Linked DNA regions of Macaca mulatta. The protein of the gene in region 2 purifies or fractionates together with the protein of the main gene of each other region. This does not show direct contact. Links are inferred from orthologs where the notes say so. Each region holds a gene or a part of one and is shown on either strand. Other genes may lie near its edges.

Region 1 (10,175 bases), on a different chromosome or scaffold from region 2:
ATAAATAAATAAATAAATAAATAAATAAATAAATAAATAAATAAATGTTCCACCTGAACACTCTCTAGATTGATTTTATTCACTCTTTGTTTAAAGGTTTTTCTTAAGGTTAACACTAAAATCTATAACTTGACATATTTCACCAAAAAGAACAATCTAAATCAGCTTCTCAAATTACTATACCATACATACAATGAAATTTTTTTTTTGAGACTGAGTCTTGCTCTGTCACCCAGGCTGGGGTGCAGTGGCGTGATCTTGGCTCACTGCAAGCTCCGCCTCCCGGGTTCACACCATTCTCCTGCCTCAGCCTCCCCAGTAGCTGGGACTACAGGTGCCCGCCACCACGCCTGGCTAATTTTTTGTATTTTTAGTAGAGATGGGGTTTCACCGTGTTAGCCAGGATGGTCTCGATCTCCTGACCTCGTGATCTGCCCGCCTCAGCCTCCCAAAGTGCTGGGATTACAGACGTGAGCCACCGTGCCCAGCCATACAATGCAATATTATTCAGCCATAAACAGAAATGAAATTTTGATATATGCTACAACATAGACCCTGAAAAGATTATGCTAAGTGAAATGAGCCAGACACAAAAGGCTAAATGGTATGATTCCATTTACATAAAGTATCTAGAATCGTCAAATACATATAGTTGTAGAATAGAGTTTACCAGGGGTGGGGAATGAAGGAAACAGGGAATGAACATAGTAGAGATTACGATGGGGTGAGGAAAAAGTTTTGGGTATAGATAGAGGTGATGGTTACACAACATGTGAATGTATTTAATGCCACTGAATTGTATACTTACAAATAGTTAAAATAATAAATATGCATATTTCACCACAATTTTAAGAATCACCATAGTAAGACACATAGCTTTTATTTTATTTTATTTTTTTTATTTTGAGACAGAGTCTCACTGTCTCCCAGGCTAGAGTGCAGTGGCGTGATCTCAGCTCACTGCAAGCTCCACCTCCCGGGTTCACGCCATTCTCCTGCCTCAGCCTCCTGAGTAGCTGGGACTACAGGTGCCTGCTACCTCACCCAGCTGATTTTTTCTATTTTTAGTAGAGACAGGGTTTCACTGCATTAGCCAGAGTGGTCTCGATCTCCTGACCTCATGATCCGCCCGCCTCAGCCTCCCAAAGTGCTGGGATTACAGGCATGAGCCACCATGCCCGGCCTGACACAGCTTTTAAAGTTTACAGAGCAGTTCCACATATAATGTGGAATCATGAATAATCCAATCTGGCTACAAATTCTAACACAGAATATAGAATAGGCTTATTAAATAGTCAATTTGTGGTTCACAACTCTGAAACACCTGTTATAAAAAACAGCAGCACTGATTATTAAACGAAACTGGAAGCAGAATATATCCAGATTTTTCTCATTTGGAAAAGTAAGCAAAAAAAAAAAAAAAAGGATGTTTCATCTTTATGGTCTGCATTTATAAAAGGATGTTGCATCTACAAAATTGGAAAGAGAAAGTCCTAATGTTTGCAATCAAAATTTAATTCTTCCTGATTATGATAACCCCTGCTATTGTCATTTACTTTCCTTCACTGTGTTTCCTGTTAACAGTAACTGCCAACATCTGCTTTTTTCCTCCCTTTGCCCACCTCACAGATTAACCCATTTTATGGATCTAAGAACCTCCAAATCATCATCACCACCACCACCACTCATACCAACAAAATATTAACAACAAAGTAGAAATGAAAAGCTAATTCTGTTGGGTATTTGTTTTGTGTCTTATTTGTATTATCCCATTTAATCCTCACACTAATCCTAGGAATTTTTATCCCTATTTTACAGAAGTTGAAACTAAGTAACAATTACTCCTGGTGAAATCTGCAAATTTGCTTCATCTTTGAGCATACGGCATGCACAAAGCACAGGGTGGAGAAAGCAGAAGCCTTACCATCTTTAGGTGTCAGGGGGTAAAACTTGGGAGACAGCAGAGCAACTGGAAACTTAGAGGAGGAACTCCAGAAGCAACAGAACCACAGAAAGGATGAACCCCAAAATCTGAGAATTAACTGCCCAAATCCCTGAATGACCACTATATTACAAAGGCACAGGGTCAACCTCCAGGACTGAGAAAGCAGCAAAGCTGAAAACACTGAGCAGACGTTAGCTGCTGTACATCACAAGAAACAGAGTTTATAGTTTGAGTAGAGGCAAGTTAACTGCCTACTAAAACAAGAAAACCTATACTTTTTAGAATAAAGCAGTTTCTAGAAACAAAACATTCAGGAGTTACTACTACGTATTATCTACACATCTAGGTTTCAATGAAAAAATTACTAGATATGAAAAGAAACAGGAAAGTGTGATTCATATTTAGGGGAAAAAAGAGCAATCAATAGAAGCTGAACCCAAGTGGGCCTAAGTGTTCGATTTGGCAAAGACTTCAAAGCAGCTATTATAAATATGTCCAAATAATTTTTAAAAAATATAATATAAACAAACAAGGAATCTCAATAGAGAAAAGGAAATTTGCTCTAAAAAAGAACCAGGCCGGGTGCAGTGGCTCACACCTGTAATCCCAGCACTTTCACTTTGGGAGGCCGAGGCGGGCGGATCACGAGGTCAAGAGATCGAGACCATCCTGGCCAACATGGTGAAATCCCGTCTCTACTAAAAATACAAAAATTAGCTGGGCATGGTGGCACGTGCCTGTAGTCCCAGCTACTCAGGTGGCTGAGGCAGAAGAATCGCTTGAACCCGGGAGTCGGCGGTTGCAGTGAGCCCAGATTGCGCCACTACACTCCAGTCTGGCACCAGAGCGAGACTCTGTCTCAAAAAAAAAAAAAAAAGAAAAAGAAAAAAAAAAAATTCTAAAGCTGAAGTGTACAATAAGCAAAATTTACTAGCCCGGCTCAATAGCAGAGGTGAGATGGCAAAAGAAAAAAATTTATAACCTTGAATACAGAACAACACAAATTATCTAATTTAGGTCAAGCACTGTGGTTCACACCTGTAATCTCAGCACTTTGGGAGGCTGAGGCAGGCAGCTGCTTGAGCTCAAGAGTTTGAGACCAGCCTGGGCAAAATGGCAAAACCCTGTCTCTACAAAAAATACAAATATTAGCCGGGCATTGGTGGGGAGCAACTGTAGTCCCAGCTACTCTGGAGGCTGAAGTGGGAGGATCGCTTGAGCCCGGGAGGCAGGTTTCAGTGAGCCAAGATCATCGCACCACTGCACCACTCCAGCTGGGGCGTCAGGGCAAGACCGTATCTCAAAAAAAAAAAAAAAAGAAAGGAAAGAAAAGAAATTATCTAATGCAAAGATTAGAGAGAAACAAGGTTGGGGAAAAAAAAACAACACACAGCTTCAGAGGCAGAGATAAGGACAACATCAAGCAGTCCAACACTTACATTAAAGGTAAATGAACTAAACACTTAAAAGTCAGAGACCGAAGCTGGGTGAGGTGGCTCACGCCTGTAATCCCAGCACTTTGGGAGGTCGAGGCAGGTGGATCACTTGAGGTTGGGAGTTCGAGACCAGCCTGACCAACATGGAGAAACCCCGTCTCACTGGGCATGGTGGTTCACGCTTGTAATCTCATGACTTTGGGAGGCTGAGGTGGGCGGATCACGAGGTCAGAAGTTCGAGACCAGTCTGGCCAACATGGTGAAACCCTGTCTCTACTAAAAATACAAAAATTAGCTGGGTGAGGTGGCGCATGCCTGTAATCCCAGCTACCCAGGAGGCTGAGGCAGGAGAACTGCTTGAACCGGGACCCGGGAGGCGGAGGTTGCGGTGAGCCGAGATCATGCCATTGCACTCCAGCCTGGGCAACAAGAGTGAAACTCCATCTCAAAAAAAAAAGTCAGAGACAGAGACTGGGTTAGATAAAAATCAAGATCCAACAATATGCTGTGTAGGAGCTCCACTTTAAATACAAAGACAGACTGACAGAGGATTACTAGAGTCAAAGGAGGTCATTTCATAATAAAAGAATAAATCAGGCAGGGAGATATAACAATTAGAAATGTATATGCACCAGTAGTAACAGAGCTCCAAAATACATGAAGCAAACACTGACAGAACTAAAAGAGGAAAGAGACAAATTGGTAAGCATAGATGGAGATTTCAATACTCCTTTCAGTAATGATAGAAGGGGTAAAAAAAAATCAGTAACACTATATAAGACTTAAATATTATCAATCGACTTCACCTAATTCTCATTTACAAAATATTCCATTCAACAAAAGAATATACATTTTTTCAAGCACACATGGGACACTCATCAAGAAAGACCACATATTAGAATAAAACAAATCTCAATAAATTTAAAAGGACTGAAACCATAAGCATGTTCTCTGAAAAACATAGACTTAAGTAAGGGCTTTCACTTACAAAATCATCACAAGGGTAAGTGATAGGACTTTCTTTTTAGTGATAAAGTCTACACACCCTTCTCCTTATAGTATCTGCAGAGCCTAAAAGGATAGTGAGGAAACATTCTATGAAAAAAAAATCCTTCCAGCTTTTATACCTCAGGAAATAGGATGTAGTTTTGGTTCTTTGGTTCAGTATGCCTGACTTGAGGTCATTACCGAGGCTGGAACTTTCACGCCACATGTGGCTCTGAAATATGCAGCCTATAGTTCTTTAAAGACTTCCAATTTCTTATCAGATTATTATATATTACACCCTGCTGGGTCTATAGTAATAAATATGGCTTTTACAAATAGGACTATAATTTTAACTTGAGTCAAATGAGTATGCCTTAAGCCTAAGATGAAAAGAATAAAAAATACAGCAGTTTGCCTGAATCTGCCTGTCTCTACAGAAATCACTGATGCCTCCAGGGGCTCTGAATCCGCAGGCGGAGGGTATGGTGCATGTGCATCCACAGAGATGTACTTACTGGGGTAAGGAGCCTAGAAAAAGATGTGGAAGTGCCATGATATAGGAAAGATGACCATCTAGAGCAGGGGTATTCAATCTTTTGGCTTCCCTGGACCACAACGGAAGAATTGTTTTGGACCACACATAAAATATACTAACACTAAAGACAGCAATCACCTTTAAAAACAAAAAATTGCAAAAAACTCTCACAATGTTTTAAGAAAGTTTATGAATTTGCATTGGGTGGCAATCAAAGCCATCGTGGCTACCTGCAGGCTGTGGGGTGGACAAGCTTGATACAGAGCATGAACTGGCAAACTACGGCCCCTGGACCCAATCTGTCCCGCAGCCCACAAACAAGGTCTGTGGAATACGGCCACGTTCATTCGTTTACGTATTATCGATGACTGCTTTTGTACTATAGAGTTGCAAGTTGTGACAGATCCTTACCTTGAAAATGACATTAAAAAAAAAAAGTTGTGACAGAGACCATACGGACTGCAAAGCTTAAAATATTACTGCCTGGCCGTTACCAAAAGGTTTGCCAACCCCTGATCTGGAGCAAAGATAGGCTGCTTAAACTTGTATTAGGAAACACATATTGAGAAAGATCATTTACATATTTATTTAAAAACTGTCAAAAAATCTCCTTGAGGCCGGGCGTGGTGGCTCACGCCTGTAATTCCAGCACTTTGGGAGGCCAAGGCGGGTGAATCACGAGGTCAGGAGTTCAAGACCAGCCTGGCCAAGATGGTTAAACCCCATCTCTATGAAAAATACAAAAATTAGCTGGGCATGGTGGCAGGTGCCTGTAATCTCAACTACTCGGGAGGCTGAGGCAGAGAATTGCTTGAACCTGGGAGGCGGAGGTTGCAGTGAGCTGAGGTCACACCACTGCACTGCAGCCTGGGTGACAGAGCGAGATTCTTAAAAAAAAAAAAAAAGGCCGGGCGCGGTGGCTCAAGCCTGTAATCCCAGCACTTTGGGAGGCCGAGGCGGGTGGATCACGAGGTCAGGAGATCAAGACCATCCTGGCTAACATGGTGAAACCCCGTCTCTACTAAAAATACAAAAAACTAGCCGGGCGTGGTGGCGGGCGCCTGTAGTCCCAGCTACTCGGAGGCTGAGGCAGGAGAATGGCGTGAACCTGGGAGGCGGAGCTTGCAGTGAGCCGAGATCGCGCCACTGCACTCCAGCCTGGGTGACACAGCGCGAGACTCCGTCTCAAAAAAAAAAAAAAAAAAAAGAATATTTTCCTGCATAGCCAAAATCAAAATATAACACCCAACAAAATTAACTATAACCTCCTAACATTTAAAAAAAAAAAAAAAAAAAAAACTTGAAGTCTTGGTATTTGAAAAAATAAAAAATAATAAAAATTACCAAAAAGACAAAACAAAACTGCTATACGAAAATTTGTAAATTTAAAACAAATTAAAGCATGATTTGACAAAGGCCCATACTTGAGAAAAACCCGTTTCTCACCTGATATTTTGGTGCATTGTTGCACTGTGGAAAACTGCCATTGACTTCTCCATTATGTAGTAGATTATTGTCCACCAGATTCCAGCCCCAGCTCTGGTCATCACTGCCCAGCAATGCCACATAACCTTGGCACTGCATGGGGGCCCGTTTCGTGGCAATTCCAATCACTGCCACAGTGCCCAGAGGGCCCTCCCACCACACCTCCCATGCATGGCGGCCCTCACTGAAACCAATCTTGGTCCTTGCACCATCAGTGCTCTGAGCAATGGGGTTTCGATGTAAAGTAAAGCCATTCTTCTTAATGTAGACATTCCTGGAGCAGTCATTAGTGCTGAAGGCATGTTGAAAAGCACGTATCTAAAAAGATGAAAAATAGACCAAATAAATAACGTTATTTTTCTTAAATATTAAAAACTTCAGGATGTATGTTTTTAAATAATGAACTTATATATTTTAAAAAACACAAGTATTTCCAAATAATGGCTAAAGTTTCAGGATGGGATACTAACAGAATAAATAACATTAAAAGTAACTGCCAAACGTTTCATCACTGACCAAAATTTTAAATTGTAGTATTTCCTCAAACAGACTTCTTAAAACATCAAAAGATACCAAAAAAAAAAAAAAAAAAAAAAACCTTATATCTTAGAGATAATACTGAAACGTTTATGGATAAAATAATGATATCTGGGGGAATTGCTTTGAAATATCCAGAGATAGAGTGGGAAAGTGTGCAATATAAATATGAAACTAGACTGGCCATAAATTAATCATTGGCAAAGCTTGGTGATACGTATAAGGAAGTTCATCAAACTATTTTCTCTACTTTTGTTTATATTTGATATTTTTATATCAAAAAGTTGAGACATAGTTTTCATATGGGCAATGCTGTCATCAAAAATAATTATATTTTACATAAAATAGAAACTTTAATCATAGCAACTCTAAAGTTTATGAAAAATTTTAGTAAACACAAACTACTTTAGATCCTCAGCCTGCTTGCCAGGTATGACTTACACAATAAACAAAAAATCACCAATCTCATTTTACCAAATCAAATAATCCCCTAGATAGCATCTAGATTCAAGTAACTAGAATTTATAAAGAGAAGCTATCAATAAGACAACTTAGTTGACTCTTCAGCAAAAACAAAAGTTTACACTTCCAAAATAAAGAGGGTATGAAAATAGCTCTTTCATACAAACAATAACAATTTCTCATGAACAATTTTAAACTTTTAGTTTGTGTATTTTAAATTTTTTTTAGACAAGGTCGCTGTCACCCAGACTGGGAGTGCAGTGGTACAATCGTAGCACACTGCAGCCTTGAACTCCTGGGCTCGAGTGATCTCCCATCTCAGCCTCCCAAGTAGCTGGGGTTACGGGTTCGAGTCACTACGCCTGCCTGGTTTGTATGTTTTTTAAAAATCCCTTCTTTACTTTAGCCAAACTACCCAAAAGCAGTGAAAGGCTGGGACCTATGCTTTGGTGAACCTGAGAAATCAACTCCAGAGTCACAGAAGCTCAGCATTCAGGAAGACCCTTAAAGGCCACCTAGTCCTTCTCAAGGATCTCAACGCGGGTGAGTGCGAGAGGCCCAAAGAGAGGCCAAGTATCCAGCTCCCTCACCACCTGTTCATTTGCCACTCGCTGGCACTCTACTGTTTCGCTGTACTGCAGGGCACAGATTTTAAAAAGGACTGTTTCCAATATCCCCTGCATTCATAAGGAGGCTACAAAACTGAAGCATTCCCAATGTTTTTCCTATCTGCTCATATTATAAAATACTTGAAGGCACTTATAAGACCAAAACATAAGATTCAGTGAAGGGGCTGGGCGCGGTGGCTCACCCCTGCAATCCCAGCACTTTGGGAAGGCAAGGTGGGCAGATCGCTTGAACTTGGAGTTCAAGACCAGCCTGGGCAATGCGGCGAAACTCCAACTCCAGTAAAAATACAAAAAATTAGCTGGGCATGGTGGTGCACGCTTGTAATCCCAGCTACTTGGGAGGCTGAGGCAGAAGCAATGCTTGAGCCCAGGAGGCAGAGGATGCAGTGAGCTGAAATTGCACCACTGCACTCCAGCCTGGGTGACAGAGCAAGACCCTGTCTCAAAAAAAAAAAAAAAAAAAAGAAAGAAAAGGAGATAAAGGAGATTAAATGGGGGAAGGAACATGTCCCCAAAATAGCAAATACTATCTAAATAACTCAAGAGAGTAATATCAATAATTCACCATAAAATAATTAATATTTCCCTATGCCTATTCCCCAATTCTTATAAATTCCAATTGCACACTGACACTATTGACAGCCTCTTCCTCAAACTTTTTTTTTTTTTTTTTTTTTTTGAGACAGAGTCTCGCTCTGTCACCTAGTCTGGAGTGCAGTGGCTCAATCTCAGCTCACTGCAACCTCTGCCTCCTGGGTTCAAGCGATTCTCCTGTCTCAGCCTCCCCCAAGTAAATGGGATTACAGACGTGGACCACCACACCTGGCTAATTTTTGAATTTTTAGTAGAGACAGGGTTTCTCCATGTTGGCCAGGGTGGTCTCAAACTCCTGGCCTCAGGTAAACCGCCTGCCTCAGCCTCCCCAAGTGCTGGGATTACAGGCGTGAGTCACCACACCCAGCCCTCTCTTCCTCGAACTTCTATGACATCTTCCTATTTCCCTGGACTGATCCTGTATCACTTCCTTTTTTGGTAACCACCCCTCCTCCACCATCACCAAATTCTCCAAACTCGGTTCTCAACTCTCTATCTGAATTATTTCCAGACCTGTCTTTCTAAAACAGCACCTTTACTACATCTCTTCCCAGTTCTATAACCTTTGGTAGTTCCATACTTGGTACCATTACCAACTGCAAATTCTTCTGTCTGGCTTTCAAAGCCCTCCAAATCTGATTCTTCCTATTTCCCTTTCTACCTTGATGATGATGTTCTTGCTTACAGTATTATAAGTGTTTTCTTCTCCCACACATTCTCTAAGACCCCCTCTCTATTAAGCTACTTTTTTTTTTTGAGACGGAGTCTCTCGCTTTGTCGCCCAAGCTGGAGTGCAGTGGCGCGATCTCGGCTCACTGCAAGCTCCGCCTCCCGGGTTCACACCATTCTCCTGCCTCAGCCTCCAGAGTAGCTGGGACTACAGGTGCCCACCACCACGCCCGGTTAATTTTTCCTATTTTTAGTAGAGATGGGGTTTCCCTGTGTCAGCCAGGATAGTCTCGATCTCCTGACCTCGTGATTCACCCACCTTGGCCTCCCAAAGTGCTGGGATTACAGGCATGAGCCACGGAGCCCGGCCTACTAAGCTATTCTTAACCAGGGCCACCCAATTCCCTTTGTTTCTCCCTCTGCTGAGTGCTTACCCACGACTTTCTGTACTGCGTCACAATTTAGTAGCTCTTATTTTCTAACACATCTTTAACCACTAATTCTAGTAAAAAATAACTTGCAAAAAAATCTAATCTAATCTAAATTGATCAGACCTCTATGGGAAACAGAGGACAGTAGAACATGTCAAGCAACACCACGATAATGAAATCAGCAAAATCGAGCTGAGAGTAAACAACCTGGTTTCCTCAACAAATAAGATGGGAGGTTGGGGAGATGGTGAGTGAATATGTAGACTAAAACAGCCTTAAGAGACACACCAACCTTTGCCATGGGACCCTTATATAGATCTTGATTATATAAAACATAAGTTTAAAATGCAACTTTTTTTTTTTTTTTGAAACGGAGTCTCGCTCTGTCGCCCAGGCTGGAGTGCAGTGGCGGGATCTCAGCTCACTGCAAGCTCAGCCTCCCAGGTTTACGCCATTCTCCTGCCT
Region 2 (10,175 bases):
AAGTGACTGTTTTTTTTTCTTTTTTTTACAAAAAAATAACAATGCTTGTGAAAGAATTCAAGCAACACAAGAAAATCCAAAGAAGAAAGCAGAGATGACATCTTTAATTGAATGGCTACCCTGGGACAGGTAATTCCTTGTTATGAAGGCTGTCTTGCCTCCTACAGGATGGTTAGCAATATCCCTGGCCTCACATCACTAGGATGCCCACTCAACTAGCCCAGTTGTGACAAACAAAGTTATTTCCAAACATTGCCAGATTGTCAACAGGGAGGCAAATATCGCCCCCAGTTGAGAACCACTGATTTAATGAATTCATTTATCCATCAACTTTTTTTTTTTTTTTTAAACAGATGGAGCCTTGCTGTCACCTAGGCTGAAGTGCAGCGACACACTCATAGCTCACTGTAACCTCAAAATCCTAGGCTCAAGTCATCCTCTTGCCTCAGCCTCTGAATTTTGATCCTAAGGGGTAATAATAATCCAATGAGAATCACACTTGTCAGACTAGCGTCAAAATGGTTTCTGACTCCTTTAAACAGTGTATCTCCTTTAGAAATACTTTATTACTTTTAAAGATATTAAAGGTTACACTGCATTCTGGAGAAAATGTCAAGAGCAGCTTCAAAGAAATTCTGACGAGTAATCCATGCAGTTGGGGAGGGGAGAAGTTGTATGTATTTTTAACAACAACAAAAAAACCTCATTTGGATATATATGTTCTATTGTGATTATATTAGTTTATAATTATAGCTGTATAGTAGTAACACAGTGGCATGCTCTTAACAAGCACATTCTCTTTTCATTCAGCAAACGTCTTCCTTTCCAATGATACCATGTTCACAGTTATTCGTGCCTGAAATCTTCATGTCATCTTAAACTTACCTTTTTCATTATCCAGTTAGTCAACAAGTCACACTTATTTTTCCTACAAAATGTATCTCTTTAATACATATGTCAGTTTCTCAATTGTCACTGTGAGACTACCTTTGCATTTTTATCACATCATTCCTCCTCTAAAAAAGTTTCAGTGGTACTCTTTTTTTTTTCTCAAGCTGGAGTTCAGTGGTATGATCTCAGCTCACTGTAACCTCTGTCTGCCAGGTTCAAGCAATTCTCCTGCCTCAGCCTCCTGAGTAGCTGGGATTACAGGTGTGTGTCACCATACTTGGCTAATCTTTTGTATTTTTAGTAGAGACAGGGTTTCACCATGTTGGTCAGACTGGTCTCGAACTCCTGACCTCAGGTGATCTAACCCGCCTTGGCCTCCCAAAGTGCTGGGATTACAGTTGTGAGCCACAACACCTGGCCTCTATTTTCTTGTGTATTATATTATTATAACACGTTTCTATTCAGCTTTTCGAGAAGCTCTTTACTCTGATACTACCATACCTAAGTTAGGAGGCACTGTAAACAACAAGTAGAAACAACTAGAAACAACAACTAGAAAAGGACTCTTTTCTAGTTCAAAGTCTTTCTTCCACCAAACACTAGCTATTCAACAAACAGGAGAGAACTAAAATACCTTGGTGGCATAGACTTCATATTGCTCTCTGGCTCTTCAAATACGTTAGGACTTGCATCAGGAGTTACTGATATATATGGGGCAGGTACAGATGTTGAACGTAGGTATCTCATTTCATCCTGGAATAGGTTGTCATCTTGATAGCCCACAAAATTTTCATGATGATGCCTGCATTAAATCAAACCCAATAACTTAAAGTATGATGGCAATACAGATCCTCTCCATTTTTAATCTCCTTCATAACAGGAAAAGCAGCACACGTAAATCACAGTTAAAGGCAAAGTATTAAAATAATTGTAGATGTAGGTAGGTGAAAATAAAAGTCTGATAATGTTATTCATCAACATTTCAGGTACCACAAACATTTCAAATCCAAAAGTGAACTAAGTTTCTTTCCTTTTGAGAGCTTTTCCATCTTCCAGTGTTTTGGTGAATGATCCCACCAACCATCCAGGTGCTTAAGCTAAAATATTTCCAGTGTTGTAGTAGGCTTAGCCCTCTACCATCATCATCTTTCAAGCCCATGATATTAGGTTTCCTCTCAGAGCCATTCTCTCTTCTCATTCCCTATCACCACTGCCTTGGTTCGTGCTTATTATTTCTTGCACAGACCACTGAAATACAGGCAGTTACTTTTTTGGGTAGGAACATACATAAGATCATATTTGAAAAATATTAGATATATGAAATTTTCTGTGGTTCAGGGTGGAGGGGGTGCCCATTCCCCAGAGAGCTAAAAAGAAAAAAAGTCTGTAATAATGCTGTGTGAGCATTTTTCACGTTTTACAATTTGATTCTTTCCTTTTCAAAATGAATAAATAGTTGCTAACCTAAGTCCACTGAGTGGTATGCTTCACACTAAAGATCTACTGTATTTGGCATACCTGATGATTTCCACCTCCGTCTCAAATGTATTTAGTCTCACGTTTTCATTTTTGTTGCTTATTCATTTTATTGTAATAGTAAGCACAAAATTTAAAAAAATCACACAACTCTGCCACACAAAGAGGACAATTTCCAAAATGGAACTGTTGGTTGGCAAGCCATGTCAGCAGGCAATATCTAGACATCTTCATTTGTCAGCTGATGAAAAAAATCTGATTTTGGTATATGAAAGGCTCTTTTGGAGTGTCAGTGCATGATGTGTGAAAGTATAGGCTGCACCATTCAGGTCCAATATATGAAAATAGAATACTAACAGGTTTCTCTCTATCTCTAGTAATGCACTTTTATCTAGTCTCCACATTAGCTTCCACATTCTACAGTGATCTTTTAATTGCAAACCAATTCATGTATTTCTCTGTTTAAAATTTTTCCACTGTTTCCTCTGCTCATGGGATAAAATGCAATCTTAACCTGGGCTACAGGGCCCGACGTTACTTGGGTGAACCAATCATTCTGAACGGGCTTTCACACATTTCCTCCAGTAGTCAGTCCTTTAACAACCTGTGATTCCTCAAATGTGTAATGAGATTTCATTTGTGTCTTTACTCACCTGGGTTATTCTTCCAGGCGTTGCTTTCTTCCCATCACTTGCCTGACAGGTTTCTATTTATCCTTTAAGACTCCACTAAAGGGTCAGACCCTCTGGGAAGCCTTTTCTGATTTCCTTGGGAAGATTCAGATACTCTCCATCTTTTATGCTGTAACAGCATCCTACATACATACTTCTATTGTAGCACTCCTCACATGGCATTTCAAATGTTTCACTGACATGTCTGACTTGACATCACAGTATGAGTACATAGAAGCCAGGATTTTGTTATATTCATTCATTCATTCATTCAGGGCCTAGCACAAGGCTGGCAGGTGCCCAGTTAGTATTCATTTAAATGCTAACAATGAATAATTTATGACATAAAAGACTGCTAAGAAAACACCAACTTTTTTCTACTTCAGCATTTCACACTAACAGACTGAAGTCAGCCTACCAAAGAGTGAAAGATAGCTATAGTCTTATTTTCTAAGACATGTTTTGTATTAGTAACAATGTAAATTGATGAAGCATTTTTATAGTTTTTTAAATACCTACTACCATAAAGTCATTATGTTAGTCAAGGCAACTCAAAAAAATAAATGCCTGGAAGTTTCTTTACAGTACATAGTATCTAATAAAGTATAGGTCAAATACTGAACTACCCTAGATATCAATAAACAATCACTGTTAATCCAAAGGTGATTAAAAAACAACAACAAAATTTTATTACCTAGCTAATGTCTGAAGGTAGAGACAAGGCATTTTCACAGGAAGATCCTCAGAAATGCCTTCTTTCACGCTGGGCAACTGAGATTGGAATGGCTTTGCAGGATGGTAACACAGAATGCTCGGTTCGGCTGCACTGCTCAGGGAGAGCAGGAAGAGTGCATTGGCTTTAATCACCTGGTGAGCTTCCATGGTGGGCAAGGCACGAGGGGTCTTGACTTGCATTGGTTTTCTCCTAGATTGTTTGACCTGGCAAAGAAAAAAAATCAAAGTAATCTTTTCTGACTTATATTAAAATATTTCGTTCCTTAAGCTAAGTATTTTGAGTTTCCAATAAAAATTATTAAACACTTGTAAAGCTATTTTAAAATACTAAGATTATAAAAAAACAACATTCACTTCATATTCATCCTGGGCTGACTATTCTGTATTAAACACAAACTATACTTCCTTTCTTTCTTCAGAAAAATTTAACACCTAACTAGTTAAATCTAAATATAATTCATTTTTTTAAAAAGTAAATCATCTGTGTGTATTCAGTGAAATTTTTTAGTTAGGTTAGCCACTAGAGTGAATAAGGAAAAGAGAGAGTAGCTATGGAATAGGAAAACAAAGGAGCCAAAAAAACAGGTAGCAGAGGTTATCTAGTGTTATTCCAATATATAGTTAATTTTTAAAATTAAAAGCAGCTGACGTAGTACAAATATTAAATTTGTATATGATTTCCATTGTAAAAGCTGATCTTTTATATCAACTATGCGGAATTATCTGATGTAATAAGATCATAAAAAGCTATTTTTATAAAGTGTATCCATATCATTAAAACTATAGCTCCGAATGGAATAAAATACCTTCTCCCTTGCAGCAGCTTGTTTTTCACGGAGGTATTTTTCTCTACAGCGATCACATACCAGATACCAAGTGCTTCCTCCTATGCCACCATCACCACAGTTACCAGCCCATCCTCCACAAAAATGCCCAATGCTATTGTAACCTTGTCCACCAGCATATCGGCCACAACCTTGAAACAATACCAAAAATAAATATTTAACACTCCAAGTGTCCTTAATAGTTTGATCCTTATTACTCATAGATTAACGACAGATTTACCTTCTCAAAGAAAGCAAAATACTGAAATAGATATCTGATTTTTCAGGCTATTAACTATATCAGAAAAATAGCTTACTTGATCAAAAAGCAATTAATTAAACGATACCCCAAATATGAGAGATACTTAGTTTCTATTCAGGCAGATTAAAAGAGAGGTAGACTATAGGTACATTTAGATATACTTAATTATGTCAATAAAATTAGACAAAACAAGTAAAAAAGTTCTATAACAATGATATATTTTCAGAAGTCACATAAAACATTTGAAGTATAATATGTAGACAAAGAAAAAAATTACAAATACAAATTTGTATTAGGTGAATTTGGAATATTAGTCAATGTTACAGAAATCATTACATTTACTGAAAATGCAGTCTTCTGATAAAACAGTATCACTTCCATAGGAAAAAGCCTATCGAAATCAATATAATCTAATTTAATTTGCAATTCTGAACAGGAAAATAGTAAAATCAAAGGAGATGCCCCATGTGTATGGGCACGCCACTGATTCTGTTGTGTGAGACAGACACATTAATGGCACACCCTTTGGGTAACACATAAATTTTTTTAAAACATGCTACATGAAAGTGAAATAGCACTAAATGACCTTGTCATCATAATATTAGAATTTCTTTATCTGTTTTTTGCAAAACCCTGTACTGATAATGTACTTTAAGATACTATAAATTCCCTATCCTTTGCCAAAATTCATATAACAGCTCAAATGAAGTGATCCGGTTCAGTAAAGAAAGAAGTACTTATACATACATTCGCCAGTATCATTTACCTGGGTGAGCTTGTCTCATGTGATAGGTCACTGGGTACGGATGTGACTCCCCACACAGTTCACAGATGGTATCTTTCTCTGGTCCTCCTACCGCCAGCTGGGCCATCTCTCCAAACAAATTACCCCTGGGCCTCACTTCTGCCTTTTCTTTTTTCTTTTTTTCCTTTTTGGCCTTCTTATTCTCTTTCTCACACTCTTTCTTTTTAAGAACTGCACAGGAACCAGGACTTGGAAAAATCATATTCTGGGAAGCAGCTTTGATAGTAGCCAAAGAGATGTCTTCCCAAAAAGCCACTAAATGTTGTAAAGTTAAGGGAAGAGGAGATTTAGACTTCATTGTGTGATGCATGGACATTTCAAAAGTGGTCTCAGTTTTCCCATCCTCGCATTTTTCATGCAGAGGTGGTTCCTTAAGCATAGATAATACCTTGTTTTTGTTGATGCTACCCATCTTAGATATATCTGGTCCATGGGGTGCAATATTAAACATATTCAGTGCAGATGATATTTCCAACGAATGTCTATTTTTTAACTTGGTTTCTTTTTCCTCTGTAGGCTGTTGGCTATTTAAACTACTCCTTATAGGAGCATGTTCTTTGGAAAGTTCAGGATGAAACTTTAGGAAAGAAGAACAAGCCATTGCATCATGTACTATGCCTTCATGCCAGAGGAAGGAAGCAAACACAGCTCTGGCACATTCGGCCACAGAAGGAGACATGGCTTGCTTGGCTGGCTCTAAAGGCTTGGATCCATCTCCTTTGAAAAGAAAACTCGATTTTTCTTTTTTGGGCCTGGTGTGTCTATTAGCACATTTTCGACTTATTTTGGGGGATGCTCTCATTTCCTGTTCATCTTTCAGTGGTGCTTTTCCAATGCTAAAATGAACTTTATTTGAACCTTCATCCACACTCTTAAATTCACTGCTGTCGTCGCAGGTGCTGTCTGTTAGACTATTTGTTTTTAAAGTACTTGAGGTGCAGACTTCGACCACCTCACTGTGGAGGTTTTCCTGTACCACATGGGGAGAGGGAGCTCTATTTTCAGATCCTGGGGAATCTGTAGAATCCTTTGGTACTGATTTTGGTTTTGGTGATGTTGACCGTCCCCTCAAAGGTTCTGTGAGGGGCATTTTCTTCTTGCGGAGGGTATCTGGATCAAGTGTGTAAGAGTCTGATTTGGAACGTTCCCGAGGAGGATCAAGTTTTGTCTTAACAGGAGCAGTACTTTTTTGAGGTAGATTTTTATCATGTGGTGAGGAGGAGCGTGGAGAACTAGCACCTGATGGGCTAGACCTGTTGGCTGGGAGAGTCTTTGGCTTAGGAGATGACAACCGAGAACCTGGTCCTGGGGATTCAGCTCTGGAGCTAGAAGGCATCCTCCCATCAGATTTCAATGTCTGCAAGGTGTTATGGTTAGGGGACAATGACCTACTATGGGAATCTGACCTCAACTTTGCAGCATCAGATTTTAAGATGAGGGATTCACTAGCTGATAAACTGTCTGTGCCCCTTGGCTTCTTCTGATCAGCAGTAGTCCGGCTCATATGTCCATCAGGTTTAAGTGATCTGCTGTGTTTAGAGGACAGCTCTGATTTTCCTGATGTAGAAGCTGGTCTAGAAGATGTTGAGATGTTTCCTCGATCACCTGTATGGTCCATTTTATAGTGAAACTTATTAATAAAATTATAACTTAGTAATGATTTAGCCACTAAACACTGAAATAAAAAACATTGCTACGAAATTCTTATTGTTTGTCACACATACTAAAACACTTGAAGAATTCTGGGGGAAATATTTCCAATAAAATTTCTACACATCATTACACAACCATTACCACCAAAAACTATTTTCATGGATGCAAAACAGGCTGAACAAACTCAGTGTGAACTATCAGTGATATCTCAACCTCTGCCCTAGTGCAATAACTAGTTAGAATTTAAATTCAGTGAGAGACTAGAAAGAGAAATTAATTTTTTGGGGAATAAGAAATTATTTAATGTTAAAACTTGTATTTTAAATGTGAAGTAGCGCTAAATTTCCAGCAGAGTGATATGTCGCATCCTTAGGGCAATGGTATGGGTTTTGTTGAATTAGAGAAATGAATTTATGCATAGACACAATTATAATTTTTAAGTGTATGCATAAATACGATTAGGCTAATAAAGAGTTGCCAAAGAGGCACTCTGTTTTATGATCAGATTAGACTAGTTTATAATGAGCACATGAATGCCCTAAAGCTATTATTTAATTACTTATAAACAGGTTACACTCCAAAAGTTCAGTAAGCTTAGCTGCTTAGAACTCAGAGGCTGTGTCCCCTTGGAAACCACAGAAATGGTGGATCCTCAGAATGAGTAGTAAAAGTCTGAACTGTGGACCCTCAAAACAAGGAGTCAGGAGAATGACAGAAAAACAGGATGAAAAGAAGAATTACCTCCCTTTTCTAAAGCAAACCATTAGATATTTCTGCATGGACATTAATTGTTTTTAGCATCCTGGCTTCATTTAGTGTCTCTCCTTCATTCTATTTTATGCTTTTCTTTGAGGCATTAGAGCCAGGCTGTCTGTGACCCAAGTAAACGGTACAAACTTCAACATCACCTTTCCTCCTTAAAATAAAAACTTCTACTCTTAGTGCAAGTGATACCAGTTAGTTGTTAGGAGAAAAGCAATCTGACTGAGGGGTTTCAAGTGGTATAAGAAACTGAAAATCCATAAACCTATCTGGAAGTATTCATATTTTTTCAAAGAGAGTTCCTAGGAAATTAAGGTGCATTTGTTAACTGGTTCTAATGGCAGGTTTTTTTTTTTTTTTTTAAAGAAAAAAGGAAGTGAACAAATTCAGATTATGTAGAAAAATGTTTTTTATGCTTGTGTGCATGTGTTAAGTGTGTATAGTCACGCTCTAGTTCTCTATGGCTCAGGACAGTAGTGCTGGAGAATCTGCCCCCATTTTTGTCAAGGGCAGGTATTTTTGTCTGTTACTCTTCACTTATGTAATACTATGAATGAGTCCAGGAATACAGTAGGTATTCAATAAATATTTGTTGAATGAGTAATATATTCCAATTTTCTTGATTTTTTTTTTCTTCTGCTACTCCCAAGTATTCAGCTTCTCTAGAAGTCTACTTTTTAGAATTAAGGCTCCCAAGGCCACAGGACAGAGGTGACAGTAGTTACTGATGTGTGAGGGTTAGATGCTTGCATGTTGAGTAATTACATGGTGAAATAATAGAGTATGGCAAGTACTTTAGATAGGGCACACTGATGAACTAAATGTTTAATTGCAAAATGCCAATATTTAGGATAAATTTTCCTGTTCTTTGGATGAAAAAAAGTAACTAAAACATAATGCTTTTTAGTTTCTTGCAAAGCTTCATTATTCAATCATGAACCTCCTTTATCATATTATATGCTCTGTTTTATAAATAGAGTATTAACAGATGGGGCTAAATTTTGAAAAAAGGGTTAAAAAATCCCAATTTAGAATTCTAACTATCAATGCTGTCTTGGGAGAACACAGATAAACAGAGGTGATCTACAAATAAGTACCCTCAAACTGTTCAAAAGTAGTTTAAAAAATTGCTGCCCATCTAATCTTACTGACCTAGTAACAGTATACGGCAAACTTGGTAAACAAATTATATTTCATAGATTAAACATCAGTAGTCATGGCCATTAATTTTGAGTATGTGATGTTTGGAGTATTTGTTTTTTGTTATTAATCTGACAGCTGGAGACATGTTTATCACCTTTATCATTACATTTATTTCAGAAACTGAACCACACATATTGGGAATCTAGACAAACAATTAGTAAGTCTTTTATATTTGGTATCCCTTACTCCAAAAAATCCGTCTGTGAACTGAAAGAGGTTTTCTCTCTAATTTATAAAAAAGGACAACTTGTGTAGGATTTCTAACAAATGGGAAGGGTTTGTGACAAAGATTACCTACTCCCTGTGTCAGATGTGTCCCAGTGGCTGACCTGCACAACAGCTGCAAGCAAAGGAATGGTGAACACCTGCTGATGATACCTCTATTCTAGGAATGCATGCACTTACGATGGTAGGTATTTACTCATCATGAAAACAACCTCTGTGGTTGCCTGAAAAATGGAATCTGCCAAATATCAGGAACACCACCTTGTCATACGTGAGCAATAAAGTTTATTACATGGTGTTAGAAAGAATAGGCATCTGTATATCTTATTATATCTCTAATAGTGGTGAATATTTTCTTAAGATCTGTAAGTGGTGACAGCTAAATACCTGTTGAAGTTTAAGCACATAAATAATGGCAGAAACGTTTCTTTCTCTGATGTATTTCTCAAACAATAACTAAATCTTCTTGAAAAATTTATTTTTCCAAAATATATTTTATATATTAAAAAAACTATGCTTGTTAAGTGGGGTAAGCCCAAGTGCTAATTTATGTTTATCTTCTTCATTTGTGTTTCAAATGTTTTGCAGCATATTATTACTAAAATTATTATGTTGTGGCTGCTCAAAATATCAACAAATATAAACAAATAGTTTGCTAAAAATCTTCA
Region 3 (10,175 bases), on a different chromosome or scaffold from region 2:
CTAAGGGCTATAACAAATAGAAAAAGTTAATCATGAGGCATTGCTGTACCTCATCTAATATTAGTGATTTTTCACTTGTTTCTTTCTCTATTTTAGTAGGCACTATTATTCCTCTCCATTCCAGTTAAGCACGTGACTAAGAGGAGGCCAAATAAATTTTCTATCAAGGATGCTTTTGTTTTTTTCAATAAGGTAGCCCTTCAAAATTGGACTACAAATTCAAAATGCAATGGCCAATCAAAAAACATAATGAGTATGTTGCTTCTATGATATAGCCAAGATCTTTCTTCTCACTGTTCTTAAAGGTTAAGTAGAGTCAACTGAACATGCAGGAAGTGATTAAACAATTTTATATTATATATTAAAAACACAGTTCAAAACATTTCCTCAAGAGTAGACTAGTTCTGTAAGTCAGGGTGAAAATATGCATAAACTTTTCTGAAGTAATCATTCCGTATGAGGTTGACTCTTTTTGTAATGCTAAAGCTCCATATTTCCGTTGAATAATGATCTCATTTTTAATGAACAAAACTAAACGTAACTAATACTTACCTTGCAATGTTTGTAAACACTGTCCTGTTTTGATATCCCAGATTTTAACTGTAGAATCTGCATTCCCAGAGACAAGAATATTGTCTTTGAGTTCCATTCCACTTGTTAACGACTGGTGCCCTGTTAACGTGTGAATGCAATTCCCTGTCTCCACATCCCAAACGCGAATTGATGTATCAAGAGATCCACTCACCACATGGATACCATCAAACTACAAAAGACACAGTTTATTAGAATAGAAGTACGGATGCTCTTCATATTACTGACCTTAATCCTAGTAGGAAAGGGGGAAGAGGATGGGAAATGGGTAATGCCAGGAACAAAATGAGGTACTAAGGTAAAGTGGCAATGAGGATAAAGTGCACGCCAAGCCATTCTACAATGTATGTTCTCACACCTTTCTATCAGAAAGGTTCATCTTTATGCCAAGCTGCTTCAAACTAGATGCAGAAGCAACTTAAAATGAAAACAAAGCACCTAAAATGAACAATATATTAATTTTCAAATCATCTGGCCCCACCTAGCTATATATCATGGGTGACTGAGAGAATTGCTATTTGAGTTTTCCTTCCCACTAGGAAGCTAAGACTAATGACACAGCTTATGATAAACGGAGTGCTTATCAGCACTTAAGGCATGAAAAGGGCTAGAGATAACTTTCGTGATGTTCAAAAGCAAGTTCCATTAAAAACCGTGTGTAAAATAAAATTTCATTTATAAGAACCTAATGCTAATTAGGAAATGTGCCAAAAGATAACTGTATCTGGAATCAGAAGAGGTGGCATTTTGTTATCAAAAGCAAACTACATACCACCTCTTCTCCAGCTTCCCAGCTACACCAAAAGTCAACAACAATCTATCATTTCTATATAATAATGTGGCTACCTCTTTTCTCAATCAAATGGGGTTATTTAAATTAGAATATTATATTCATTAAGCTTCTGAGAATATCACAAACAGGTGCAGCCAATTTCCCTTCCTCCAAATTCATCACCTTTTCTAATTTAGCAAACATCTTGATCATATTGTCAATATTTCATGACATGGACAATATTCCTTCGACAAAGAAACAAATATCCTAAGAACAGAATTGACAGTACTAAGATTATGTACTAATTTGCTGAACATTAATGGGCAATAACTGATAAATAAACTATATAGGCTGTAGGAAATATTTTTACATTGAAAATGTTGCCTTTCTGGAAACAAAACAAGATTCATATTCTAAACTTCCTATTCATCTAGTCAATGATCTTAAAATATGGCAATGTTTTCAAGGATATGGGCTTGAAATGTAAACCAAAAAAAAAAAAAAATCTGTTTAGTCAACTTTACTTCCTTATGACTACAAATCAGTGGGCCTGGGACAGTAGAGTGCTTTATGCAGAAAGGATCTATTTCCACTTTGAATGGGGATGGAATCACAATTACATGGTCCATCAACTTTCAGCTATCAAAGCAAAGGGTCAGCTTTGGGCCATATTAATCCTCTGCAAAGGAGTTTCTTAAAATCCAGGTTACTCTCCTATGAGACTATTTAACCATTAATTAATATAGCAAACCTTAGAGTCCCAAATTGTCAGGTTACAAGACAAATATTTGTATTTAGAGGAGAAATAGATCACAGAAAATTGAAAGCATCTAAATAATTTTGAAATTTATATAAAAACAGCAGAATAATCTGGTTAATCTTTTTTGGATTGTACTGGAGCAGCAATTTGACAGCGATTATCTGAGTAAAACAACCTTATGATTCATCAGGAGAGCATTTAAGGGAGAGATAAGAGATCTTACCTGTAATGAATAGACTCTATTAGTATGCCCCTGCAACGTGTGTAGACAGGTTTCAGTCTCTGGATCCCACACCTTTACCATAAAATCATATGCTCCACTAACAACCCTCCTGCCATCATATTGAACACAGCGGACTGCTGCAACATGACCCATCAAAACATGTAAACACTGGCCTGTCTCAATATCCCAAACCCTAAGAGTGGCATCTCGGGAACCGCTAACAACTCTGCAGAGGGAAAAACAGAAAAACAAAACAAAACAAAAAAACCCATGTTTAGAATTTTTAATAATATGAGAAAACATGATAGATTTAGTCAAGGTTTTTTAGCTTTCTTTTTCTTACACAGGAACAACTCTTGTCAAAAGAAATCCTATGTAAAACCTTGGTATATAAACATACAATAAGGGAATGGGAAGTTGGGAAGCCTAGAATGCCTCATGCTTGGTTCCCTGACCTGTGGACCTTAGTTCCAGCACCTCGAGGTTCTGTGGGACTGAGTTTGAAAACCACTGTACTGTATTTTTTTTTAAAAGCAGCAGTAGCTGCCTCTAAATATATACAATAAGATTTTGATTTTAGAAATAAAATGTTAATGTGGGCATGTGTATAAAATGTTAATGGGAGAACTCTAGGTGGTAGTAGTTTAAAGAATTTAAATTTTCTTCTTTATGTTCTTTGCCATTTTCCAAAATTTCAATTATGGATGCATATATTCCCTTGTGATTAGGTAAAAAATTCAATAAAGGTTATACAACAAAACAAGTCAGGATTTGGAATTTAAACAGCTGCAGATTTGTGTTTACACTATACATTCCAGTAAAAATTAACCAGTTTTAGACATGTCCTCAAACACAGGCTGCTTATGCTTTTAATGATTAGATTTATAAGTATGCAATAGGCTATAAAAATATTGATATGGATCTTTAAAGATATGTACATTTTTAAAAACAATGGCTATCCCTTAAACATGTGGTTCAACATTAGCGCTACACTCTCCTGAAAACCAGAGCAACATGCAAATACTGTAATCACTTTTGGATTACAAAACAAAGCTGAAAACTCAGGTATCCTTATGTCATTCATTCTGAAGAGATAAAAGAAATATCACAGTTTCCATATTGGAAAAATTAGAAAATTAAAGGGTTGAGATTTAAGTCAGAACACAATGGAACACAATGAAAACATATTACAAATCTGGTGTGAAATCTGCTTAATGTAATGGTTCTTAATATAAGAAGATGCTATAGACAGAATTAAAGGTAAAGACTGCCATTGATTCACTGTAAGGACCTTTCAGAGAGACCTTTTTTGACAAATGAGGCAGAAATCACACTTGTTTAACAGGGGTATGATGAAGATAATAGAAAGATAGGATTTTAATAGGAGGGCTTTACAGGAGGAGATAAAAGTAACAGCAAAGGCACTGAGAAGAAAAAGTCAAGCAATCTAGTTTGGCAGACACCATTTTGAAAACTGGATTGAGGATTTCTTCCTTAATTCGTTAGTCAACAGTAGGCTCACAAAGACTTAAGAACTGGGCAGTGACACTATCATAATTATAAAAGGACTGTATGTCAGCATATAAAATGTAAGATGACCAAGTTAGAAAGTTGTGACACTAGTTCAGAATGAGAGAACAAATTACTCACAGGCCTCAGCTTTTGCCTCGACTTAAGAGATAGGGTGGGTGTAAGGTGGGTAGGTAATTTAAAAAGGCTCAGACGCTTGAAGCCTGAATTTGTCCCACTTGCAGAAGTAAGAATATCAAAAAAAGAGAGAGAAAAAATGATTTCTGCTTGAACATGATGAGTCATCAAAGATACAGAACAATAAAAAGGATTAGAGAGTAGAGAGCTTCAAAGAGGAAGCCGACAACACTAGCAAATGAAAAAGGAAACTTACAGACAATCCCCAATTTTAAGACAAAACACTATGGCTTTCCTAGAATAGAACCATCTGAAGTCTAATAATTAAATGTAATTTAAGAGCTCATTGTCACTATTTCAGTAACTCTATACAGAAAGGGCCCAAATTCACAAATAATAGAGGAAGAAGTCCCAACCACGATAAGATTTTCCCTTACCTTTTTTCATGAAGATGCATACAACGCACTGTGGAAGTATGCCCATATAAGGTGTGTATACATTCTCCAGTCTCTGCATTCCACACTTTGAGAGTCCGATCGGTAGATCCACTAATGATGATGTTGTCTCTCATTTGTGATGACCATACTCCACCTGTATGTCCCACTAATGTTCTCAGACACTGGAAAAACACTTAAGATGATTACTTTTGGGTAGAAAGGAAAAGTGATTTAAATAAAATTTAATAGCTCATTAAAATTTGGAGTAAAGTTATTTATTCGTTTGGCTCTTCAGAAAATATTATTTTACACATCCGTATAAAATGATCCCATCACTATTTATAGTTTTGTTTATTCAAAGCATTATAAATTTATATAAGCACAAGCAATTGAAGAACATGTAGAAAGCAAACATATGATATAAAATATGATATAATAAAAAGGAAACATGATATGAAAGCAATTATGATAGCTCTGGTCTCTTTGATGAAAAAATACTGAAATTGCAACTGGGTTTCTTCCATGGGAATAGATTCAATGAAAGTATGCCAACAGTATTGGGTGTGGCTACATACCACATTTCATCTGAATCTGCCCCAGGGCAGTATTTAGGAGCCAGTGAAGCTACTTCTAGACAAGTAAAGACAGACATTAAGGCCCTGAAATAAATCCCAAACTAATATTACACTATGGAAATATAAAGCTGCTTTAAAAAATTTTAACATCTGACTTGGCGTATTTATAAGATACTTGCCAAGAAGCACCATGGTAAAAGACATTTTAAAAGACATGGATTTTTTTTTGTTTTCAGACTCTCTTCTGTTATTTTTGAGGTGGCAATTACTTAATTCATGAAAATATTCTCTACTGGACAGATACAAATAAATATTTGCTAGAGAATCATTAAGGTATGATATGGTACACGGTCAAGCTGATTGCTTGGGCTACTTTTTTCTTCAAACTTACATTTAAATGCCTAGTCCACTCTCATCTCACAAAGGTTTGAGATAAGTATAAATTAACATGATTTATTAAGTTCTAAACTATAGGTAGGTTATCAACAAAGCAGTTCATAAGGAAAAATAAATACCCCTCAACCATACTTTTGAAAAACATTACAAAGTAATGAGGTATAACTTAGACAGTAAATAAAAGTGGGGAAAAATTGAGCCAAGAAAAATATAAAGCACCCTTGAAAATGTTAAAATATCTGTCACAAACTATGTAAATGAAAAAAAATTAATGAAACCTCTATCATGAGAAACATCATTATCCTCATGCCATTGATTTTCATAAATATGGGGGAAAAAGCTAAGTTACGAGCTCTGATATTTGCTATCCCAATAATTGAGAATCAAGAATGAATTCTGATTTTCTTTTTTCCAGTTGCTACTTGCAATGCTATACACAAAATTGTGACTTTGTGAAGTGTAGGAAGAGTGAACTTACTTTGCCCGTGACTGCTGACCAAACTTTTAGAGTGTTGTCATCAGAACCACTAACTATTCGGTTACCACAAAACTGTAAGCATGTGATCACATGATCATCATGTCCTTTCAGCACCTATAAGATAGATGTACAGATTAGAAATATGTTAATTAAATTATGTTCTTTAAAACACTGGTGAAGAGAAAAATGAAGGCACAAACAGGAACGGTAATTTGTAGTCTATCTCTAGAATTATAATTTATATAAAATATAAAGCATTATTTTTCCTGGCTGACGAATTCAGAATTAAACATTTTATTGTTTCCATAGTCTATTATTTATACTCAAAACATCAACTATTAAAGTTTTACTGCATCAAGACCTCATGAAGATGGTTCGAACACCAATGTATTTGACAATAATCTATTTTATCTGTTCAAACCAGAATATGCCTCTAATTTTTACAACTTTGACACACAAGAACAAAATACGCATCTATTAACCACAAAGAGTAACAATTATTAGCATTCTCAAAACAAAAAAATCTATAACATATACATATTAGTATCACAATGTCTCCCCAAACTGTTTTTTTCCAGTTGTAAAAATATGCTCAATAATTTAAAGTGTTCTTAACATTCTTTATATATTTGAAACGTTTTAATACAGAAAACCAGAATTATGCTTCAATTTATAAAAATAAGACACACGAAAGCCACCAATACCAAAACACAGACACTCCTCAAAAAATCATGTTTGGACTATGTGATCAGAGAAGGCAGCAAATTCTCAGGTAGAATGTGTATGACACAGTACAATTCAACAGGATATTGAGAGATTTTCATTTAAGTAAGATAAAAAGATACTCAATTTAACTTATCTTTTGTTCAAGCACAATTAGTTGTCAGATTAATTAGCAATAAAAGAATACTGTCAGTAATACTTTCAGTTATTTTAAAATATATGGTTTTCTTTCCACAGAAGAGAAGTGTCAAATTATAGTTTGCCAAGAAGTGAAATAGTACACTAGGTACTAACACTGATTAATGGTTTCTGTTACACTGTGCAGAGTTCAGTTACCTTAGGAGATTTGAGTTCTCCTCGCCTCCAGTTAGTATCAATTCTGTGCTGTCTGATGTATGCACTTTTCCATGGACTGTGTATGAAACCTGGTTTTATTACTTTTCTTCTCTTGATGTGCAACGGTTCATCAATCCCTGAAGTGTTAGAGGTCAAGAGTAAATTGCCTTCACCAACAATAACAATTATACATTTTATAAAGTATTCCATCTTTCTCTCTGCTCGAAACCACTGAAATGTAAGACATTGTCCAATTTCTAATACTGTTATCACAGTATATAGCAATAATGTAAAGTTTGCACTTTATATGGCATATTTTTGTATTCACTATTTCATTTCTCAAAATGATTCTAAAAGATGCTGGTGAAGATGTGAGGAAATTGGAATGCTTGTGCAAATGGTGCAGCTGCTGTGGAAAATAGTCTGGTGGTTCCCCAAAACAAACACAGAATTAACATATGATCTAGCAATTCCATTTCTGGATACATAAGCAAAACAATTAAAGGCAGAGCCTTAAACAGTTATCTGTACACCTATGTTCATAGCAGGATGACTCATAATAACTAAAAGGTGCAAGCAATCCAAGGGCCCATCGACAGATGGATAAACAAAATGTAGCATTAGATACATATACACAATGGAATAAAGGAAATTCTGACACATGCTATGACATGGATGAACCTTGAAGACATTACACTAAGTGAAATAAGCTGATTACAAAAGGAAAAATATTGTATGATTTCACTTATATGAGGTAGCTAGAGTAGTCAAACTCATAGAGACAGAAAGTAAAAGGGTGGTTGCCAGAGGCTGTGGAGAGGAATAATGGGGAGTTATAACAGGGGGCATGGAGTTTCATGTGAGGAAGATGAAGTTCTGAACACAGATGATAGTGATAGTTGCAGAACAACGTGAATGTACTTAATGCCACTGAAATGTACATATAAAAATGGTTAAATTGATAAACTACATATATGTTATTACAATTTTTAAAAGATCATTAAAAAAATGATTATATGGGAGAAGGGAAGGCAGAGATTAATCCCACTTTATGTATACAGATACTTAAGAAGGAAGATTTCACTGATTAATCCAAGTCCTACAGAGGTGAAAAGCAGGATGAGAAACCAAGTACCCTGGATCTTTACCTCAAACCTTTATTAACTGGACTAACCATCAATGCTTCCCACTTGACTATAACCACCATGAACGGAATGATCACCTATAGAGTACCTGCATCATGCTCTATGATTCTTTCTAAAAAAAGTTTGCTTCTGAGGCACATAATACTTTTATATTTTTTCAAAAATATTTTTCTGGATGTCTGCTGGGGAAAACAACAATAAAAACAACAAAACAGCTCTCCCAATACAAAGGATAACTATTCCTCTACTAAGGAAAAAAATAGGTTTCAAGAACATAAGCTCCATGACAGAAAGAGAACTTCAGTTCACTGCTATATCCCCCACCTTGAAGAAATGTCTGGCTCATAGGAGGTGTTCAATAAACATTTATGAAAAGAATTAATTAATACTAAATATTTGGATATTTAATTGGAAATGTAATTTTGGGGTTTCCTTTAAATCATCCACATCTTGACTTTTTCATTGTTTATTAATTCTACTAGTGATAGGAAGCAAATCAGATATATTTGCTATTAGTTATATTGCTTGTTAAAGGGGTTAGCTGTAAGATTTGGCTCATTTCAATGTGTAGAATAATCTGTGGATTTTATTATAAGTAGGTGAATATTATTTTTATTTTTTCTACTTGTTTTCAGAATCACTCTGCTTTTCAAAGTATAAACATATTCTCTGTGCAATTTTGAACCTTACCCTCTTCTTTGCATTTCTCTCTCCAGAGAAGGTTGTCTTCAGCCAAAATTCTCCAATAGCGACATGTCTGAGCCGCTTGTAGCAGGTCTTTGGGTTCCAGGAATGAAAGCACATAGAGTGCCAACTAAGAAAAAAATGCATAGTATAATACCCATATTTAAATAAATATATATATTATATAAGTTAATTATTCTCCACAGGATGAGATACTTGATAAATATAATTCTGCACTCTGATTTTTAAAATTATGAAAGGCAGTAACTTCAGTCCTAACAAATATATACCAGATAAAAAACACACACACACCTTATGGTTTTTATGAACTTCACTCTACTCTTTACCTCTTCAGGGACTACTGATTAAAGCTCTCTGTCTCTGCTCTTGCCTTGCTCTGTGAGCCTCAACTTAATAATTCTTTTTTAAAAAAATGTTATTAGTTGTTTAACTTTGTTCTCTATCCTACTACAATGTAAATTCACTGAAGATAGGACCTAAATGCTTGCCTGACAGACAAGAAATAATTTTTATATATTCTGTGTGGCATGACTTCAGATCATTTCTGATTGATATATATCATAATTAACAGTCTTCAAATCAAAGTGTTTATTATCATAATGAACTTTTGAAACACTTACATCCTTGACTGTAAATGACAAAGGGGGACAATTATTAAACCATTCCATAGACATATAAAAGTAATTGAGTTCTAATTACTTTACATTACTTATAAGGATCTTCTTGATGGGCCACACAGAGTTGTATATTTGAGCTAACTCTTTGGTATACCACTGATTAAAAAATTTTGTTTATAATACTTGTAAACTATTAATTTTTTTCAGTGTGTCAGTTCAAATAAAGAGGAAAAATAAAGAGAAAAAAAGGGGAATTATAGCCTCTGTTTATTCAAATAGCCTCACATATCACATAAAATTTTAAATTATGATACAAGGAAAACCATTTAAATAGAGCAATTAAGTTCAGTTTTCACAAGAACTAAATGACAAGAACTAAAACAAATTATCCATTAAAGGGTCAAGGGTCATATAGGGAGTAAAAGCACAATTTTAATTATTTTTGATGCTAAATATAAATTATATAATATAAATTATGCTTTCCCAATGACTTTACATATATAAGGAGTTCATCATGGGCTGGTGTGGTGGCTCACTCCTGTAATACCAGCACTTTGGGAGGCCGAGGTGGGTGGATCACTCGAGGCCAGAAGTTCGACACCAGCTTGGCCAATGTGGTGAAACCCCATCTCTCCTAAAAATACAAAAATTTGCCAGGTGTGGTGGTGCACACTTATAATCCCAGCTACTCGGGAGGCTGAGGCACAAGAATCACTTGAATCCGGCAGGTGGAGGTTGCAGTGAGTCAAGATCACGTCGCTGCACTCCAG

Evidence for each region.
Region 1: the proteins of MYCBP2 (region 2) and FBXO45 purify together in Homo sapiens (affinity purification with western blotting; 7 studies listed by BioGRID and IntAct, with this or other methods). This does not show direct contact. The link is inferred for Macaca mulatta from reciprocal best matches to the Homo sapiens genes MYCBP2 and FBXO45.
Region 3: the proteins of MYCBP2 (region 2) and FBXW7 purify together in Homo sapiens (affinity purification with mass spectrometry; 6 studies listed by BioGRID and IntAct, counting the BioPlex papers as one, with this or other methods). This does not show direct contact. The link is inferred for Macaca mulatta from reciprocal best matches to the Homo sapiens genes MYCBP2 and FBXW7.

Annotation. Positions count from the first base shown.
Region 1 is NC_133407.1:2,109,506-2,119,680, reverse strand, and holds part of FBXO45 (F-box/SPRY domain-containing protein 1), read right to left. Parts: intron 6,707-10,175; coding exon 6,350-6,706; intron 1-6,349. UniProt on the Homo sapiens protein: Component of E3 ubiquitin ligase complex consisting of FBXO45, MYCBP2 and SKP1. Functions in substrate recognition but also plays an important role in assembly of the complex.
Region 2 is NC_133422.1:71,887,389-71,897,563, forward strand, and holds part of MYCBP2 (E3 ubiquitin-protein ligase MYCBP2), read right to left. Parts: intron 7,270-10,175; coding exon 5,626-7,269; intron 4,750-5,625; coding exon 4,580-4,749; intron 3,978-4,579; coding exon 3,733-3,977; intron 1,694-3,732; coding exon 1,526-1,693; intron 1-1,525. UniProt on the Homo sapiens protein: Atypical E3 ubiquitin-protein ligase which specifically mediates ubiquitination of threonine and serine residues on target proteins, instead of ubiquitinating lysine residues.
Region 3 is NC_133410.1:160,923,455-160,933,629, forward strand, and holds part of FBXW7 (F-box/WD repeat-containing protein 7), read right to left. Parts: intron 8,898-10,175; coding exon 8,774-8,897; intron 7,076-8,773; coding exon 6,939-7,075; intron 5,994-6,938; coding exon 5,880-5,993; intron 4,613-5,879; coding exon 4,431-4,612; intron 2,573-4,430; coding exon 2,347-2,572; intron 764-2,346; coding exon 553-763; intron 1-552. UniProt on the Homo sapiens protein: Substrate recognition component of a SCF (SKP1-CUL1-F-box protein) E3 ubiquitin-protein ligase complex which mediates the ubiquitination and subsequent proteasomal degradation of target proteins.